Caenorhabditis elegans: one gene and its partners. The protein of the gene in region 4 purifies or fractionates together with the protein of the main gene of each other region. This does not show direct contact. Each region holds a gene or a part of one and is shown on either strand. Other genes may lie near its edges. The genes, in order: ndua-12, ndub-6, gas-1 and dlst-1.

Region 1 (5,315 bases), on a different chromosome or scaffold from region 4:
TCTAGGCCATCAAGTGAAAAGTTAGTCCAGCCCATCTGAAAATAGCTAGTCACAATTCAAAATGGCAAGAAGACGCTTGTGGACTAACATCTCAGTTGGTGGCCTAGAAATTCAAAAGTTCGGCCATCGACTTTTAAAATTTTATTTTCTTCCAATTTTTCACAAAAATGTGCTGAATTACTAATTATTCGATGGGAAACCCGAAAAAAAATCGGTGGCCTAAATTTTTTAAAAAGTCGGCCACCAATTTTTTTCGCGCAAATTTGACCGTTTTTTCGTCAATTTTCCAAATAAAAAATTGCTGGCCTAGAAACCCAAACCTCGGCCACCTATTTTTCACCTAAAAACCGTACCTAAACACACCATCAGGACGCTTTTCTGCTCTCCGACGCTCATTTTCTGGGAAAAAATCAGATTTTTTTTCTGAAAAAAACGTGAAAAATCAATAAAAATATCACAAAAAGGTCGTAAAATCCTTCAAAAAATCAATAAAAATTGGCAAAAAAATCGATAAAAATCTACAAAATTCATATGATTTTAAACACAAAAAAACGGAGAAAAATCTACTTTTTCGAAAAAAAAAATTTCAGGGGCTCTAATTATAGATTTTCAGTCGAATTGTGGCTTCTCTCCTGGTTGCCATCCTTGAATTTTGGTACGAGTTGTCGAGTATGGAACGTACTTTTTGTCGCTGAAAAATTGGGAATTTAGGGGTTTTCTAGGCCATGTGAGTGGAAAACTAGTCCCCGGGATGTTTTTTGTGAAAAATTGACTTTAAAAAACAAGAAAAATGGCCGAAAACCGTTAGAAAAAGATGGTGGCCTAGAAAACCAAAAAGTTCGGCCACCAATTTCTTGAGTCCCCGAGCTGTTTTTTGCGGAAAAATTGACCAAAAAAATGTGAAACTCGAGCTAAAACAGCTGGAAACCGTTAAAAATTGAAAAAAAAAATTGGTGGCCTAGAAAACTCAAAAAGTTCGGCCACCAATTTCTTGAGTCCCCGAGCTGTTTTTTGCGGAAAAATTGACCAAAAAAATATGAAACTCGAGCTAAAACAGCTGGAAATCGTTTAAAAATTGAAAAAAATTGTTGACCTAGAAAACCAAAAAGTTCGGCCACCAACTTTTTTTTCGAAACTTGACGACTTCTAGGCCATGTGAGTGAAAAACTAGTCCCCGGGATGTTTTTTGTGAAAAATTGATTTTAAAAAACAAGAAAAATGGCCGAAAACCGTTAGAAAAAGATGGCGGCCTAGAAAACCAAAAAGTTCGGTCACCATTTTTTTGTTTGAAAATTTTACGATTTCTAGGCCATGTGAGTGGAAAATTAGTCCCCGGGATGTTTTTTGTGAAAAATTGACTTTAAAAAACAAGAAAAATGGCCGAAAACCGTTAGAAAAATTGGTGGCCTAGGAAACCAAAAAGCTCGACCACCAACTTTTTTTTTAAAATTTTACGATTTCTAGGCCATCCAGGTGGAAAACTAGTCTCCGGGATATTTTTTGTTCAAGAATCTGCGAAAATTGACCAAAAATAGGCGAAAAACGTCCGAAAAAATGATGGCCTAGAAAATGAAAAGTTCGGCCACCAACTTTTTTTTTTTCAAAATTTGACGACTTTCAGGCCATCCAGGTGGAAAACTAGTCCCCGTGATGTCTTTTCTTAAAAATTTACGGCAATTAAGAAAAAAAAATTGGTGGCCTAGAAATCCAAAAAGTTCGGCCACCAACTTTGTTTTTCTCAATTTTCATGATTTTTAGGCCATTTTTCACCGTTTTTCTTGATTTTTTCATTGAAATTCGTCTAAAAATCCAATTTTCCGTCGAAAACCTACGCGTAGATACTGGTGTTCTCCTTATGTTCGAGTACCCAATCCTGAGTTGGTGGTGGCTTCACCGATGGAGCATCATCGGTGATGTGGTGGAGCCAAGAGTGCCTGGAAAATTAAAGAAAATGATGAAAAAATGAACAATTTTGCGCATTTTTACACGAAAATTAGGCTTGAAAATCGGTGACCGAACTTTCGGATTTCTAGGCCACCAGGTGAAAAGTTAGTCCACCATGTTTTCCGGACATTTTGAGTGATTTGGGCCAAATTTGAGTGGTGGAACTAACTTTTCACCTGGTGGCCTAGAAACCCAAAAGTTCGGCCACCGATTTTTTTTTCGATTTTCATGATTTTTATGTCATCTATTTTTATTTGTATTTGTCTAGGCCATTCTAGGCCATTTTCTAGGCCATTTCTAGGCCATTTTAGGCCGATCTAGGCCATTTTTCGTGTAAAAAACAGCAAAATTGTTCATTTTTCGTCGTCATTTTTTTGCGTACCATTCCGGTGGCACTTGAGTCGCATCATAGTCGAGCCAAACTTTGTCGGGAAACTCGACCCAACGGTTGCGTGGCACGAAATACGCGTTATTCTCGTAGTAACGATTGCCGAAATTGTCCGAACCGACGAGTGTTCCGACGCGGGTCGCGTCCATTCTGAAAATTTGAGAAGATTTTTATGTAAATTGAGCGAAAATGGTGTAAAATTGGCCTAAAAATCATCATTAAAAAACAAAAGAAATCGGTGGCCGAACTTTTCGATTTTCTAGGCCACCATGTGAAAAGTTAGTCCCCATCGATTTTCGCTCGTTTTCAGGTGATTTTAAGCGATTATAAGCCCGCGCGGACTAACTTTTCACTCGCTGGTCTAGAAAATCGAAAAGTTCGGCCACCGATTTTTTTTTCGGTTTTTTATGTTTCTCCGGTCATTTTTCCGACGCGAGTCATTCGAAAAATTCAATTTTTCAACCGAAATTTTGATGAAATTAAGCGAAAATAGTGTAAAATTGGCATAAAACTCATTAAAAAAAAAACGGTGGCCGAACTTTTCGATTTTCTAGGCCATCAGGTGAACAGTTAGTCCCCCACACAAAATTGACCTGACGTATCGCGCAGGATGTCCAAATGAAATTGGGGGACTAATTTATCACTTGGTGGCCTAGAAATCCAAAAAAGTTCAGCCTCCGATTTCTGACAGATTTCATGACAAATTTCGTACATTTTTTGAATTTTTTAATACTGAAAAATTCAAAAAAAAAATTCGTGGCCGAACTTTTCGATTTTCTAGGCCACCAGCTGAAAAGTTAGTCCCCGCTGATTTTCGCTCGTTTTCAGGTGATTTCAAGCGATTATCAACCCGCGGACTAACTTTTCACATGACGGCCTAGAAAATCGAAAAGTTAGGCCATCAATTTTTTGATGTATTTTTAAAAAATAAAATTCGATTGTTGTAAATCGAAAAAAAAAATTAAAAATTTGTCAGAAATCGGTGGCCGAACTTTTGGATTTCTAGGCCACCAAGTGAAAAATTAGTCCCCCAATTTTGTTTTGACATTCTGCGTGATAGGTCAGGTCAGTTTTGTGTGGGGGACTAACTTTTCACCTGATGGCCTAGAAAATCGAAAAGTTCGGCCACCGATTTTTTTTTCGATTTTTATGATTTTCAGGTAATTTTCGACCGTTTTTCTTCTAATTTAGTGCATTTTCAGCCATTTTTCCACCTGAAAACTTACAAATAACGCTTCTTAAGCACCGCTTTGACACCTCCAATCTCCTTGACCATTTGGCCAAACTTTTGGATTTTATCGATTCCCAGCCACGCTTTCAGGGACATCTGTAATGTAAATTTGGTTGGAAAAATGGGAAATTTTAACGGAATGTGGGGAGGAAAAACCAAGCATTTTGTGAATTTTTTCAAAAAAAAATTTTTTATAAATTTTTTGGCGAAAAACTCCATATTTCCTGTGAAATATGATATTTTTCGAGTTTTTCACTGAAAAATCTTGAATTTTTTGAAAAAAATCAGGGAAAAATCGATTTTTCAGTGGAAAATTGGAACAAAAAAAGTGAATTTTTACATTTTTTGAAAACTTTAAATTTTTCACCAAAAAATCGCAGAAGAAGGATTTTTCTCTCTGAAAAATTGGGAAAAAATCTGAAAAATTCAAAATTTGACTTTAAAATTGAATTTTTAATGGAAAATTTGTAAAAAATGTGCATTTTTCACTAAAAATTGAAAAATTCTGAAAATCTGGAAAAAATAAAAAAAATATTTCAGAGCTTGAAAAACTCGCAAATTCCAAAACAAAAAATCAATAAAAATCGCCGCAATTTTTCACAGAAAACGGTGTACTTTTTTTATGCATTAAAGTGTGATAGAAGAAAGAAAAAAAACGATATTGGGAAATGGGGGGAAAAAATCAAATAATTTAGCGTAAAATACAGGTATTTTCAGGGAATTTGAGAGGTTTTGGGGGGTAAAAACGAGTAGAAATTCGAAATTTTTTCAGATGAAATTTTCAATTTTCAATTTTCCCGCCAAAAAAGCAGCGTCAGGAATCTCCTCAGTTGGTGGTGGGCAAGATTTTCACGGCGACGACCGAATTGAGCACATTTGCATCCTTCAGAGTCTGTGATTCGTCTTCAAATGGTTTTGGAGGGTAGGCAGCCATCATTTGGAATGGAGCGTAGATCATATCTGGGCGGGCGCTGGAAAATCAAAATTTTTAAATTAAAAAAATTTGAGTTTTTTGAAAGAAAAAACTAGAAAAATGTAATTTTTTAATTTGAAAAATGTAATTTTTTAATTTGAAAAATGTAATTTTTCTATCACTGTGTATATCAGAAAAATATTATTAAAAAATAATTATTCATTGGAAAATTTCGAATTTTTCAGGCTAAAAATGTGATTTTTAGATGATTTTTTTATTTTTTTAATTCGAAATTTTCTAAAAATCTACTTTTTCTAGTGAAAAATGAGAGTTTTTAATAGCTTTTTCCGGCTGAAAACTCACGTGCAAATGAATGTACGAACTGCTTCAAGTGTGTGAGAATGATTAAAAATACCGACGAGACGCTGATTGTTTGGCAGACGGATTTGGATCTGAAAATTTTGTTAAAATTAATCAAAATATCAGGAAAGAAGCCACAATTCGACTGAAAATCTATAATTAGAGCCTGAAATTTTTTTTTTTCGAAAAAGTAGATTTTTCTCCGTTTTTTTTGTGTTTAAAATCATATGAATTTTGTAGATTTTTATCGATTTTTTTTTGCCAATTTTTATTGATTTTTTGAAGGATTTTACGACCTTTTTGTGATATTTTTATTGATTTTTCACGTTTTTTTCAGGAAAAAAATCTGATTTTTTCCCAGAAAATGAGCGTCGGAGAGCAGAAAAGCGTCCTGATGGTGTGTTTAGGTACGGTTTTTAGGTGAAAAATAGGTGGCCGAGGTTTGGGTTTCTAGGCCAGCAATTTTTTATTTGGAAAAT
Region 2 (3,311 bases), on a different chromosome or scaffold from region 4:
ATGAGAGGAAATGGTGAAGGAGAACAGAATGATGATCTTAAGATCAGAGCTTGAGACGAATTCATCCGGGATTTCAAGGGAAGAGAAAAAAAAAACAAAAACAGCAAGTAGGAAAGAAAATGGCTATCACGTACATAGAAAATGCAATAAAAGTTGTGTTATAACAAAAATCATCAAACCAAGAAATAGAAAAAAAATCTAAATATTTCCTAAAAAATTAAAGCTATGGGGAATCAAGTTTAATATTCAATTGGCGGATTTTTTCGAAGAATTTCCAGTGACGATCCTTTAGGAAGATCACCAACTTTCTCTCCCAATTGATACATCCGTGTCTGAACTTCGTCAGTGATGATTTTTCGCATTTGTTCAGTGGTCAGTGACTTTGATAGAACTGTTTTCTTGAGATCAGACAGGAAAAATGGCTCTCCGATGTGAACTGTTACGGTCTGAAACGGAAAAAAATGAATAATTTCACTACGTTTTTTGCAGATTTTATATTTTTACGTCTAAATTTGATTATTGAACTTGAAAAATCTTCCGACTTACATTTCCAAATTTAGGATAGTATGGAGGTTGTGTTGGCCAAACTTTTTCCATCTCTTTACACCATACAGGCAATATTACTGGATCGGTTTTAGCATCCATCACAAGCCTTCCAATTCCCCACTTGAATCGTAGTGGTTCACTTTCAAGAGTACACACTTTTCCTTCTGGAAAGATATGAACCCATTTATTATCATTCAGCATATCCACACAGAAATCCATTCCTTTTTGATAAACTCCTTCTCCACGAACACACGGAACACAACGTCCTAATGAGAACATTCTGAAAAATAAATATGCGACGATTAATTTGAAAAATTCAAGAGAAAAAACTCTTACGTTGTATGGAACTGTTTTGTGAAGCAAATGTTGTGAGCTGCGAGAGTGTATCTATTGCGATCTTTGTATCTCCAAAACTCACGGAATTTCAGAATACCTGAAAATAGAAATTAGGAATGCTATAATAAATCATTCGGCTTACACCACATGAGCGGGTCGTCGATATTTGAGCGATGATTTGAGACTGTGATGAGTGGTTGATTCGGATTTTCCAAAATCTTGACGAATGTCTCTTTGTTGTGGCATATCAACTTATTGGATCCTAAAATGTATCGAATTTAATAATTTTAAACTTTAATTAAAAGACAAACCTCCAAGGAACATAAGTTTGGAAACTGAAGTGACTAAACTCATTGTCATGTATGATTTTATACGGTACAGAAGTGACGGTTTTTTTGGAAAGGGCCATGCAAACCGGAAGCCTTGCACGTCATTTGTTTTATCCCGCATTGTACCCGACATCGTGCTGAAATACTTTTAAAGTTTAGAAAAATCTTTCGAATGGAATAATAAAGTGTTAGAGAACGTGGAAACTATATTAATTTTAATCAGAACAATGCAAGAAAAAAGAAAGAGAAAAGTGCGCCGCGCGCTTGCACCTCGAAACTCCGCCTTCTTTTGCAAGCCGCAACGGGCTTTTTAATAAATGGCAGATCTAAATTTAACTGCAAAATAGTTTGTTTTATTCAAATTTGCTAAAATTTTATTGATTTCGTATGTAATTTATGTTAAATTGTTATATTTCGTTGTCATGTATCATGTTTTTTGTGTGCCCGTTCATTATTATCGATTTTTACTCAGTTTATATTTAAGCAGTCTCACAAATTCATAAAAACGAATTTCAGGCTCAAATGGGTAACCAGTATGTGAAACCAGAACGCACGGGCAATTCCCCTTATACCCGGTCCGGAGTTCCACCACCGGCGCTTGTCAAGACTGGTGACAAGCCTCTTCACAGGTAATTCTTTTAGATTCTGTTCAACAAATTCTATTCAACACAAAAAAATTCAGAGTGAATGACCGCATGTCTCTCGAGCTCCACATGGCCGATGAGCGTGTTCGTGCCGCTGGTTTGAGCCCAGCCGAAAGAGAATGGAGAAAGAAGTGGGTTCATGTGAGTTTTTACATTTTTTGTCAATTGTTAATACTAAAATGTTTATGTTTAGGACCAGCACCTTCACGCTGACGAGCCAGTCGTTGTCGATGCCGTTCATCGTCAGTTGAACCCAATCAGAACCGCTTACAGACTTCCATGGGACAAGTTCTATCTTCATTACCTCAAGGTGAGATATATTTTCTTTAAAAAAATCAATTTTTTAATTTGAATTTCTCATTTATTGCATTTCAGCCAACATTCGGAGTTTACTATGGAACCGCTATCAGAGTTACAGCTCCAAAATTGCTCATGGCTTTCGTCGTTGTGCAGACTGCCTATTATTATTGGAAATACGAAGTCAAGGTATTCAATTTTTTGAATTTTATATTAATTTCACGAACCATTATCTTTTCAAGGACTGGACACATTTGAGAGGACTTGAATCGATGCCACAAAAAGAAGTTATTGCTAGTGCTCCAGCAATTGAAGAGAAATTCCCTGGACTCATGGATAAGGGACTCGCCAACCCATCCAAGGATGACTACTACACGTGAGTTAAACAATAATTTGTGGAATATTGGAAAATTGAAACTTTTCAGACCAACATTTAATAAGCGTACTGCTTACCTCGATGTTGGAGAGACAAAACGACCGTGGTAATCGAAAGGAAACGAGTGACAATCAGTCATTCGAATATGTACTTTTAGGGTGTTGTAGACGAATTTTTAAAGTTTTTTCTTTGTTTTTGACCCTACCGTAAATAAAAAATTTCATGAATGATTTATTTAACCAACTTTCTAGGTTTTATTCATAAAAAACAAGTTGAGATTATAAAAAAATAGGAGAACAACGAGATGGTGCTGCGGAAATACCTGAAGAAGGAAAATAACAAAGAACAACAAAGTATTAAGAGGTATTTTAAGGAAAGAACACTAGTGGATAAAGATACTACAGAGGAAACCTTGAAGGTTATGAAAGAATTTACGTTAGGGAATTAATATTGCTAATGATGAGGTTGATGGGAATAAAATAAGGAGGAATAAGAAGTTTAGGCCGTGACGACCATCTTGATGACCATTGTGAAGATCAGACCAGAGACAATTCCAGAGATGAGGAAGAATCCGGCCATCATTCCAGCGACCTGAGCCTTCGATGGATCAACAGTCTTCGAGGTGTACATCATGGCGAGTCCCGAGAAATATCCACTTCCAAAGCTCATCGAGGCGGCGATAATGACGAAAAGCCAGGTGGATTCGAAAAAGACGGGAAGTGAACGGGTCTCAGGGAGATAGTTGCAGAAGATGAAGAATGGAATATAGAGGAGACGGAGGTA
Region 3 (5,726 bases), on a different chromosome or scaffold from region 4:
AGTTTTCTGTTTAGAAAAAAGTTCATCGCATGTGTCTGTCAAATTATATAAATATATGTAGATTACTATTTAACGGATATTATGTAAAAATGCAATTATATCAAAATTCAAAAAAGTAAGCAAAACTTGATGTCAATTTGCGAACAAACGTACCGCCATATGAGGAAGAAGGTGGTCGGAATTTTTGCAACAGCTTGACTTCAAACTATTAATACAATCTTGATGAGCACATGAGAAACTGACTGAATCATGGCAAGTCATGCATTTTAACTTCTTCTGTAGAAGCTGGCTGAGGTCTGATGGATTGATGTCTTTGACGTGTTTGCAGCGAGATTCCATTTGTTTTGGAAGCATCTGTAATTATTTTTGAGGTTTTTGGAAAATCAGGTATTGTGATGTTAAATGTTTGAGAAAGTCATTGGAAATATTCTTACCGGTCGCGGATTATTATTCTCTTCCAGATCATCCTTATCGGTATCTGTACCCGTTCCTGATTCAGACGATGACGACTCCTCATCTAGTATACCCTCTTCTTTTTCGATGTTCTGTGATGGCTGACTGCTATCCGAATTCATTCCGTCGTCATCACGCCCTGCACTATCCGCCATTCTGAAAAAAAATATAGAAAATTGAAATGAGAGTCATGTTAAATTTAAAAAAAAGTCATCATTAGTATCAATTGACCACAACGAAAAATGATATTGAAACCAAAAAAGAAAAAAACGTTAAGTTGTATTTCATATCATCAGTTTAATTAATAAGTTAATAGTATATTCGAAAATCTGTACTTTAAAAAAACAATGATGTCATTTCGGTAATAAGTGTAAAAAAATATGAAACTTGTGTATTATAACTCCACATTTTGAAAATTTAATTTCTTAACTTTTAAACGTGATCTTCATTTTGTTTTTTTTTTGAAACGATCTTTTCCAAACCTAATCATGATAATACTACTCACGTTTTAGATAAGTGGAGAAAAAAAACAATTACTAATTTACTTTTAAAATGTTGGAACACACGTACCGAAAATATTAGGTTAAATTTACAATTTGATCAAAAATTGAAAAATGAGTTTATTAAAAATTTTTACAAAATAATCCAAATTAACGTTATATTATAAAACAATTTTCAATTTAAAAAAAGTTTCTTAGAAAACAAAAATAAATAATAACACCGAGCATGACAATTCCGAACGACTGTCCAAGCAACAAGACATCTTCTAAATCAATAGAGAGGTGAGGCTACGCGAGGAAAACAACGACACTCCACCACGCGCTAAATACCGAGCAGTCGTCTTATTTTCGTTCGGTACCTATTTTCGACACTGTTTTTGCGAATTTACTTTCTTTTTTCTTAATAATTTTAATATTATCTTTATCGTGTAAGAAAAAATACGACTGACTGTTAGTTTCCATGAAAAAAATTGTGAAAATCAAGTTGCGAATTGGTGGGTTTTTGAAGTTCAATCTTTCTGTGTTCAATGTGCAATTTGGCAGCGATTTTATCGATTTTTCCGTTTCTCTTTGTTGCTTTAACTTCACAACTTTTATTGCTCACTATTCACCGAATATTTTTATAGGAAACAATGTTGGGTAGAAAGATCGCCGGAACTTGTCTCCGAGCGAACGTTCCATCGGTCGCGGCGACGTCTTCTACTCCTGCCACCCAAACCCGAAACTCCCACACAATCTGGTATCCAGATGCTAAATTTGAGCGTCAATTTAAGGTTGATTTTTTTTGTTGGTTACGAGTGACATCTCAATTTTCAATATTTCAGACCGGAGGTACCCTCGGAAAGCTGTGGATGTCGGAGCGGGTTTCGGATTTCGACGAGAAGATCGGACTTGACAAGCTTGAAAAGTTGGCCTATTCCGATCCAGTTATGAGTGATAACTACAGCGGAAAACAGAGGTAGAAATTTTACCGAGTACTTGAAAATTAAAATAATTTGTTTTTTTTTTCAGAGAGAAGAATCTGGAAAACATGATTCTCAACTTCGGACCACAGCATCCAGCCGCTCACGGAGTGTTGCGTCTCGTGTTGAAACTGGAAGGAGAAGTCATCATCAAGGCCATCCCACATATTGGACTCCTTCATCGTGCCACTGAAAAGCTCATTGAGCACAAGACCTACACTCAGGTATGTTTCTAAAACGATATTGAAAATGATAAATTGAAAATTTGTAAAATCTTCAACTCGGTCCAAGTTTAGAACTGAAAATGACAAATATTGTGTCTAAATAATAATTTTTTGTTTAGCCTAATTTTAGTTTTCAAAAGCTATGAAATCCGTTTCAAATCATTTTTTCTGTCACTCAAATCGAATATTCAATCAATTTTTCCAACTGTTTTCTTTGCAGGCTCTCCCATACTTCGATCGTCTCGATTACGTCTCCATGATGTGCAATGAGCAGGCTTGGTCTTTGGCTGTTGAGAAGCTTCTCGGTATTGACATCCCAACAAGAGCCAAATATATCAGAACTCTCATGGGAGAGCTCACTCGCATCCAGAACCACATCATGGGTATCACCACTCACGCCCTTGACGTTGGAGCTATGACACCGTTTTTCTGGATGTTCGAGGGTAAGTTTATTGTTTCAAAATAAGTACAAAACCAACATTGATTTTCAGAACGTGAAAAGCTCTTTGAGTTTTCCGAGCGAGTATCTGGTGCCAGAATGCATGCCAACTACGTCCGCCCCGGAGGTGTCGCTTGGGATCTTCCAATTGGTCTTATGGATGACATCTACGACTGGGCCATCAAGTTCCCAGAACGTATCGATGAGCTCGAAGACATGCTCACCGAAAACCGAATCTGGAAGGCCAGAACTATTGACATCGGACTTGTGTCAGCTGCTGATGCTCTCAACTGGGGATTCAGTGGAGTCATGGTCCGTGGATCTGGAATCAAGCAAGACGTGAGAAAGACCGAACCATACGATGCCTATGCTGATATGGAATTTGATGTTCCAATCGGAACCAAGGGTGATTGCTACGACAGATACTTGTGCCGTATTGAGGAGATGAGACAGTCGTTGAACATTGTGCATCAGTGCCTCAACAAGATGCCAGCCGGAGAAATCAAGGTCGACGATCACAAGGTTGTGCCACCAAAGAGAGCCGAGATGAAGGAGAACATGGAGTCTCTTATTCATCATTTCAAGTTCTTCACCGAAGGATTCCAAGTGCCACCAGGAGCAACTTATGTCCCAATTGAGGCTCCAAAGGGAGAGTTTGGAGTTTACCTTGTTGCTGATGGAACCGGAAAACCATATAGGTAACTATTTCATTTTTAATGTTAAGAATGCGGTGGTCTGAACCAAGGGTGTCAATGTCCCGTAAAATTTATATTATATATAAAAAATTTTAAATTTACAAAAACGGGACAGCGGGACTCCGGTTGACTATTAATTCTTGATTATGAAGTGATTACCAAATTAGGACCACACGCGCAGACATCTCCACCCTCCACCCTGATTTGAATGCCACAGTGGTCGGATCTGTAAACGACCCCTGTGGCCAAAGTGGTTGCGTCGCTGGTTAGTGTGCACAATCTCGCGGGTTCGATTCTTTTGAATGCTAAATCCTTTGTTCAGTTATTATAAGTAAGGGGACTTCTAATTGTTTGTAAAAAATCGAGTATTACAACCATTGGAATTTCTCTATTACATTTTTGGATTGGCAAAGTTGTAGTACTTGACTATAGGAAATGATTTAGCCTTTTAGGGAGGATGTCTTTTTCAGCAGGACGTCCTCGGCGGCAGGATCAGGACGCGTCCTCGTCCTTCGCGTTTGGACGTCCCCAATTCTCACTGTGTGTGTTTTTCACAATTTCAACAGTGAGACTTGAGGATGTCCAAACGCGCAGAACCTAACTCGTCCTTTTTAACAGCCCTAAAAGTGATAATTGTTATGTTCTGAAGGCGGAACGACGAGGAGAAGACAAGAAGTTTATTATATTAGTACTAAACTAAGGAATAAACCAGTTAGTTATAGAGCTCACGTTGTACAATCTTCTTAGCCACATCGTGGGTAAATACACTAGTAACAAGAGCTCAAAAGTCCAAGGTACAGATTTTTCACCAATTAAAAAGTTTGGAATTTTATTCAAATAAAATGGGAAAAGTGCAGCTTCAACATTTAACCACATTTTTTGCACTGTATTAAATAAATTGTCATTTTAGTGGAAGTGTATGAAATACTTTGTTCAAAGCTTCAGTGCAATACTAGTAGACACTGCAAGTTTTTTATTGGTTATCTAGAATGCAATTACAAAACTTTGAACAGCGTATTCCTAACATTTGAATAAGATATTTCTATGAATTGTTACTAGGCGGGATAGCTCAGTTGGTAGTGGTGGCCGCTAGTAGTCTGGAGGTCACAAGTTCAAGTTCCGCCTCACGCCTTAGGTTCGCCCAGCATCTAATGGGAAGTGAAGCTCATCATTCATCCATCACTGGATTATCGGCCACAGTCCCCGGCTAGGATGTGGCTTAAATTATAACCCAGTGGGAGCATCGCCAGGCAGTGTACCTGACTCCCAGATCCGCATTGATTTGCACTTGAAGAGAGAAATATTGTTCAAATTTTGAACTAAATGTCTGAAAATAAGATGCAAAGATTATAACACCGTTATACAATTAAAAATACAGTTGTATATAATAATGGTTACTGAAAAATGTAAGTGAACGGAAATTTCCAATTATTAATTTTTGTCATTTCACATACATACAATTAGGGCTGTGCAATCGGACGAATTCGTCCGGTTTTACCAGATTTACACGCGTCCAAAACAGAAGCTTTTTCAACATTAAATTGTCTCATTTCAGATGCTTCATCCGCGCTCCAGGGTTTGCTCACTTGGCGGCCATCCACGATGTGTGCTACATGTCTCTTATCGCCGACATTGTCGCTGTCATTGGAACTATGGATATTGTGTTCGGAGAGGTCGATCGATAAATACTCAACTCATTAGGCACGTAGACGGATTCTCTATAGCACATTCTCAACTCACTCTTTATTTATCCCTTGCACCGCGAAATGTGTTCTGTTTATTTTCTTTTCTTTTCAAAGTTCGTTTTTTTCTGAAATTCAAAAATGTAGATTTGTATCTGTTCACTGTTGTTCAGGATGTTCAATAAATAAGTCTGCAACCAAGACGCAAAGAAAAAACGCTTTATTAAGAAAATACTCACAACAATAAAAATAGAGCTAACATTATGATCAAGATTATGAAAGGAATGACAACACGCGTTGATGAGGTTGAACTTCGGGGTGCCAAAGTTGAATGGTGAGGACAAGTCGGAAGGATGATGAAGATGCACCGTCGAATTGGAGCTGAAATTTTAACTATGAACTTTAAGGTAATATTTAAAGACGGCTTTCAACTTTTGAGATCGTTGCCTTACTAGTTAGAAATTCGAAAAGTATTGAAAATTTGCCAATTGTTTGGGCATTGAGTTTTTATGTGCTTATCAATTGATATATCAAAATTAATAGTTTGTACCAGGGCTTCCATGAGGTCGCCGCAACGGTGCCTCCGCCGGGCTCACGCCGCATGTATAGTGCGGCGCGGAACCACAAACGTGTCGGCCGCTTCCAAATAACCACATTTTGGATTTACTGACACACACAGCGGCGCGCGGCGTCGGCGTGAGGCCCGCATTTCGCGCCTCACACAGCTGGGAGCCCTAGTTTGTACCTAGACTCCCTAAAAAGTATTGATTC
Region 4 (4,292 bases):
TTTCAATGCAAAGATTATTCAGCACATTATAATGTTCTTCAGCTTTATTGAATGCTCGTGCGTGCAAATTTCGTGTATCTTCATTTTTTATAAGTCCAGTACATTCCAGATCGAAGAACACGTATGTTTTGATAAACTCTCGAGAGTAGGCACTGAAATTGAAAAAATATATTTCCAAGAAAGGAAATATTAAACACCTTCTTTTCTGAATCTGTTTTGTTGGACTGGCTTTCAGTAGTATGGGTGGTCCTCTCTTCCGTTCTGGAGTTACATCGCCGTGTAGAGTCCACGTGGCTATTTTTGAAGGTGTCGTGGTTGGAGTGAAATCCGATGACCGCTTCTGAAATTAAATTCAACATTGCAATATTTCCTCTAATGATTTTTTTTTCAACTCACCATTATTTCAACCGTTCTCACTTGCCAGGAATACCTGAAAGATGACATTGAACTTCTTATCTTTTATCAGTGATCACCTTCTCATTGCCAAGTGACGTCATAAATATCGAAATCAAAAGTAATGATTGCCAAATTTGTGTGATTAAAGACTGATGAAGAAGTGAAATATTTGGTTTTTATTTTTTTAATAATCAATACTAGCTTTTGAACAAGAAAACTCGGATAATAAGGGACAGTCGAACATAAGGGGTGAATGACAAGCTAGACGATACATCGTACCTATGATTTACGGTTGATTACTAAACGTTCAAACGAAAAATTAAAAATTTTGTGAAAGCATGACCAAGGAGGCATAGAAAAAAGAATTTAGAAAAAAAGGGGCGATAAAGATTTAAGATTTAAAGATTCATGAACATGATTCGTGGATCCTCGACGGCGGTCTTGATCTTCTTGAGGAAGGTGACTGCCTCTCTTCCATCGATCAATCTGTGGTCGTAGGTCAAAGCGATTTGCATGATTGGTCGGATCTCTGGCTGAAAATTGAACAAATTTTTATGAATCATACGTTTTTGTTTCTATATATTTTCAGTATTATAATCATTTTAGTTAAATTTAAACATTTTGAAATTCGAATTTGATAATTTCTATCAGTAATTGGAATAAAAATGAAAACTTGCCTTTCCGTTGACTGGAACAACACGATCAAACACTCCGTGCATTCCCAAAATTGCACTTTGTGGTGGATTGATGATTGGGGTTCCGAACATGGATCCGAAGACTCCACCGTTAGAAATCGTGAAGGTTCCTCCCTCCATATCTTCAACAGCCAGCTTTCCGTCACGAGCCTTCACTCCGAGATTGGCAAGTTCCAATTCGATTTGAGCATAATTCATGCTCTCGACATTTCTCAAGACTGGAACAACGAGTCCTTTCGGTGTAGCAACAGCAACGGAGATATCGACAAAGTGACGGTAGACAATTTCGTTTTCATCGAGAACGGCGTTAACAACTGGAGATTCTTGAAGAGCGTAGGCGGCAGCGCGGACAAATGGAGACATCATTCCGAGCTTAACTCCGTGCTTGGCAACAAAATCCTTCTGATAAGTCTTTCTCATTTCGATGAGGCTGCTGCAAAAACACGAAAACTTTTTTTAAAAACCCAGAAAACAACAAAAAACCTCATATCAATCTCATTGAAGGTAGTAAGCATAGCATAAGTATTCTGAGCATCCTTCAGTCTTTGAGCAATGCGCATGCGCATTCTGTTGGCTTTAACGCGGACTTCATCACGGGCTCCGGTGATTGCGTGGGATGGATCAACTCCCTTTGGAACAACGACACGAGTGACTGGGACGGCTCCGACTGGAGTGGAAGATGATGGTGTTGATGGTGGGCGAGCAACTGGTGGAGCAGATTTTGGAATATCCCCAGAAACTGGCTTTGGTGGGGCAGCGGCAGTCACAGCTGGCTTCGAATCTTCCTTGGCTGGAGCTGGTTTTGATTCTTCTTTGGCTGGCGCTGATTTTGGTTCTTCTTTAGCTGGCGCTGACTGAAAAAAAAACAAATATTATAATTCAGTCACTAAGCTGTACAAAAATTAACTCACAGACGAGCCTCCGCCTGCTCCTGGCTGAAGTTTATAAAGCTTTTGCTTGGCTGTCACTTTAGCTCCATCTTCCACGAGAAACTCGACAATTGTTCCGGCTTGTGGAGCTGGTACTTCAACCGAAGTTTTATCCGTCTCAATCTCAGCGACAAGTTCGTCTTCGTTAACATGATCTCCCTTCTGCTTTAGCCATCTAATATCTCCTTCCGAAATTGATTCAGCAAAAGCTGGTCCTTCGACGGTAATAACATCGCTCACTGTGATTTGAATATGAGATTTTTGAAAAGTATTTTTCATTTAAAACTCACTTCTTACTGCACTCATGTGGAAGTTGGCTGAAGATGTAATTCTCACATTTTGAACGAGTGGTTCCAACAAACTGGTCTTAGCTGGAAGAAATTCGATTATTTTAATATAAAACGTGTAAACTTCCTACCTTGGAGGCTTGGCTGTGCAGAAGAGGCAGCAGTTACGCTCTGGAAAACGGAATACGTATTTTTTTTAACTAAAAAATAAATGAGAAATGCTCACTTGTCTCGCGGCTCTGGAAAGAAACCGATGAACTGATACTGCACGTCGCCCGAGCATTTTCGGTTACCCTGAAAAATAGCGTATTAATATTTTTTGCGCAAAACAATTGAAATATGTTCTAAATAACTCCTCATTCAAAAATATCAAGGAATTTTAATGCAACAATTCGAGAAGTGGGCGTGGTCGGACGGGCGCTGGTCTGCAACGCGCGCGCGCGTTTTTCGCAACGCCACCGCACGCTTTTCGTTGGATCAGAGTTTTTCGGGATATTTTTCGGAATATCAATAACATGAAAAATACGTAGATTATGAATCGCATGACATATTTTGCAGTGCAATTAATCATAAAAATAAAGTATACACAAATTTTCACTTTGATTTTTTCAATTTTCTGTAGAAATTGTATTTTTTCTGTTGCATTTCTGATAAACACACACAATTCGATATAACACGTGGGTTTGCCCATTTGAATGTTGCAGAATCAAAGATATCGAAAACCAGTTTAACATTGTACCACTGGCTAGTTGATAAGCAGAAGATCGATGTGTGATTAGAAAATGTTTATTTGTGATTTTCGAATTTGAGAAACATAACGACGGCACAGTTCAAAAGTGAAGTATAGAAATAGTGAATAGAAAACGAGGATGAATTGATTAGTTCAGTTTACACGCTGAAATCTCGGAATGGCGCTCCGGTTTTCTTTTGGAAGTCTCGGACTGGTGAGACTGCTTTCGGAAGTGTGATAATTGTTGGCAAAACAGGCCGATAGACAGGAACGTTTGATGTAACTTGTGGAGCTGCATAACCGTATGGACTCGAGGCTGTAATAAAATAATTATAAAATGAAGAAAATATTCTATGCAACTCACCAAAACTTGGGTAATATTGAGATCGAGGCATTTGATATACAGGCTGTGGTGGATTTGCTGAAACATGACGCCAATTATTTTCAAATGGAAACTCAAACTATTTACCTTTAAAATTGTGAAATTCCTGTTGTAATGTTGGCCAAAATGTAGGATCAGCGGAGTTTGCAATTTGAATTGCTTGTGCAAAGCCAGCACCATCTACTTTATCCAGCAACTCTCCAAGGACTGCATCGATGCTTTTCGGGCCTGATTCGACATTTATTCCTTGATGAGATGCGAGCCTTGTTCGTAGATCACGATCCCAGTCGGTGAATCGTGTCACTCCTGCATTATAGTCGGCAGATCCTCTTTGCAACCTGAAAATATTGAGAAATTATGTGAATAAAATATATATTCGACTGACGCGTTAGCATTTTTCCACTTTTCGAAATTTGCCGCATTATCGGCAATTTGCTTTTCGATTTCGGCGATAGCTGCGTAGTCCTGAAAACAAAAGAATAGAAGATAATCGATAAAACAACGAGAAAAACAATATCGTCGACTTCCATTGGTGGGCTCTGCCTACCTACCTTCTTGTCGGCCATTTTCAGAACGAAAAATTGAAAAATTAATGGAAACAACTAATTTTCTGTTTAAAAACAAAAAATCAATCTCGCTTTCAAGACTTGAAATGTTCTGAAACCCCCTAGAGAAACGAGACGAGAAAAAATTTTGATTCGAAAATCGTTGAGGGGTGCGGAGTGTCGTAGCGCGCCTTGTTTATTTTTTGAGTGCTTATGGTAACTGGCTTAATATTAGGTCTACGTTGAATAAAACAACAAATTCATATTTTACCTTGAACAATTGTAATAAAACTGAAAATTTTGTGGTCATAGGACACTGATTCAGAAA

What was found.
Region 1: the proteins of dlst-1 (region 4) and ndua-12 fractionate together in Caenorhabditis elegans (co-fractionation; one large-scale study listed by BioGRID). This does not show direct contact.
Region 2: the proteins of dlst-1 (region 4) and ndub-6 fractionate together in Caenorhabditis elegans (co-fractionation; one large-scale study listed by BioGRID). This does not show direct contact.
Region 3: the proteins of dlst-1 (region 4) and gas-1 fractionate together in Caenorhabditis elegans (co-fractionation; one large-scale study listed by BioGRID). This does not show direct contact.

Annotation. Positions count from the first base shown.
Region 1 is NC_003282.8:2,716,176-2,721,490, forward strand, and holds ndua-12 (putative NADH dehydrogenase [ubiquinone] 1 alpha subcomplex subunit 12), read right to left. Parts: upstream 3,660-5,315; coding exon 3,559-3,659; intron 2,483-3,558; coding exon 2,327-2,482; intron 1,935-2,326; coding exon 1,833-1,934; intron 692-1,832; coding exon 610-691; 3' UTR 512-609; downstream 1-511. Other genes in the region: Y94H6A.7 (Low molecular weight phosphotyrosine protein phosphatase), read right to left, coding at 354-396; ubxn-2 (UBX domain-containing protein 2), read right to left, coding at 4,390-4,534, 4,840-4,928. UniProt on the Caenorhabditis elegans protein: Accessory subunit of the mitochondrial membrane respiratory chain NADH dehydrogenase (Complex I), that is believed not to be involved in catalysis. Complex I functions in the transfer of electrons from NADH to the respiratory chain.
Region 2 is NC_003282.8:11,650,676-11,653,986, forward strand, and holds ndub-6 (NADH dehydrogenase [ubiquinone] 1 beta subcomplex subunit 6), read left to right. Parts: upstream 1-1,727; 5' UTR 1,728-1,733; coding exon 1,734-1,840; intron 1,841-1,893; coding exon 1,894-1,996; intron 1,997-2,048; coding exon 2,049-2,165; intron 2,166-2,230; coding exon 2,231-2,341; intron 2,342-2,394; coding exon 2,395-2,528; intron 2,529-2,577; coding exon 2,578-2,638; 3' UTR 2,639-2,757; downstream 2,758-3,311. Other genes in the region: acl-3 (Tafazzin family protein), read right to left, coding at 240-446, 547-826, 883-979, 1,025-1,144, 1,194-1,344; ent-1 (Equilibrative nucleoside transporter 3), read right to left, coding at 3,027-3,311.
Region 3 is NC_003284.9:15,586,251-15,591,976, reverse strand, and holds gas-1 (putative NADH dehydrogenase [ubiquinone] iron-sulfur protein 2, mitochondrial), read left to right. Parts: upstream 1-1,579; 5' UTR 1,580-1,585; coding exon 1,586-1,726; intron 1,727-1,777; coding exon 1,778-1,911; intron 1,912-1,964; coding exon 1,965-2,139; intron 2,140-2,359; coding exon 2,360-2,582; intron 2,583-2,630; coding exon 2,631-3,276; intron 3,277-3,606; exon of another isoform or gene 3,607-3,666; intron 3,667-4,828; coding exon 4,829-4,958; 3' UTR 4,959-5,191; downstream 5,192-5,726. Other genes in the region: usp-33 (Ubiquitin carboxyl-terminal hydrolase), read right to left, coding at 154-354, 435-608; K09A9.6 (Aspartyl/asparaginy/proline hydroxylase domain-containing protein), read right to left, coding at 5,229-5,336.
Region 4 is NC_003283.11:6,706,501-6,710,792, forward strand, and holds dlst-1 (Dihydrolipoyllysine-residue succinyltransferase component of 2-oxoglutarate dehydrogenase complex, mitochondrial), read right to left. Parts: upstream 2,602-4,292; 5' UTR 2,591-2,601; coding exon 2,534-2,590; intron 2,479-2,533; coding exon 2,439-2,478; intron 2,392-2,438; coding exon 2,311-2,391; intron 2,260-2,310; coding exon 2,003-2,259; intron 1,946-2,002; coding exon 1,575-1,945; intron 1,525-1,574; coding exon 1,074-1,524; intron 930-1,073; coding exon 795-929; 3' UTR 556-794; downstream 1-555. Other genes in the region: W02F12.4 (Exonuclease domain-containing protein), read right to left, coding at 1-152, 198-340, 397-399; sna-1 (Small Nuclear RNA (snRNA) Associated protein), read right to left, coding at 3,196-3,353, 3,402-3,458, 3,507-3,757, 3,805-3,884, 3,971-3,985.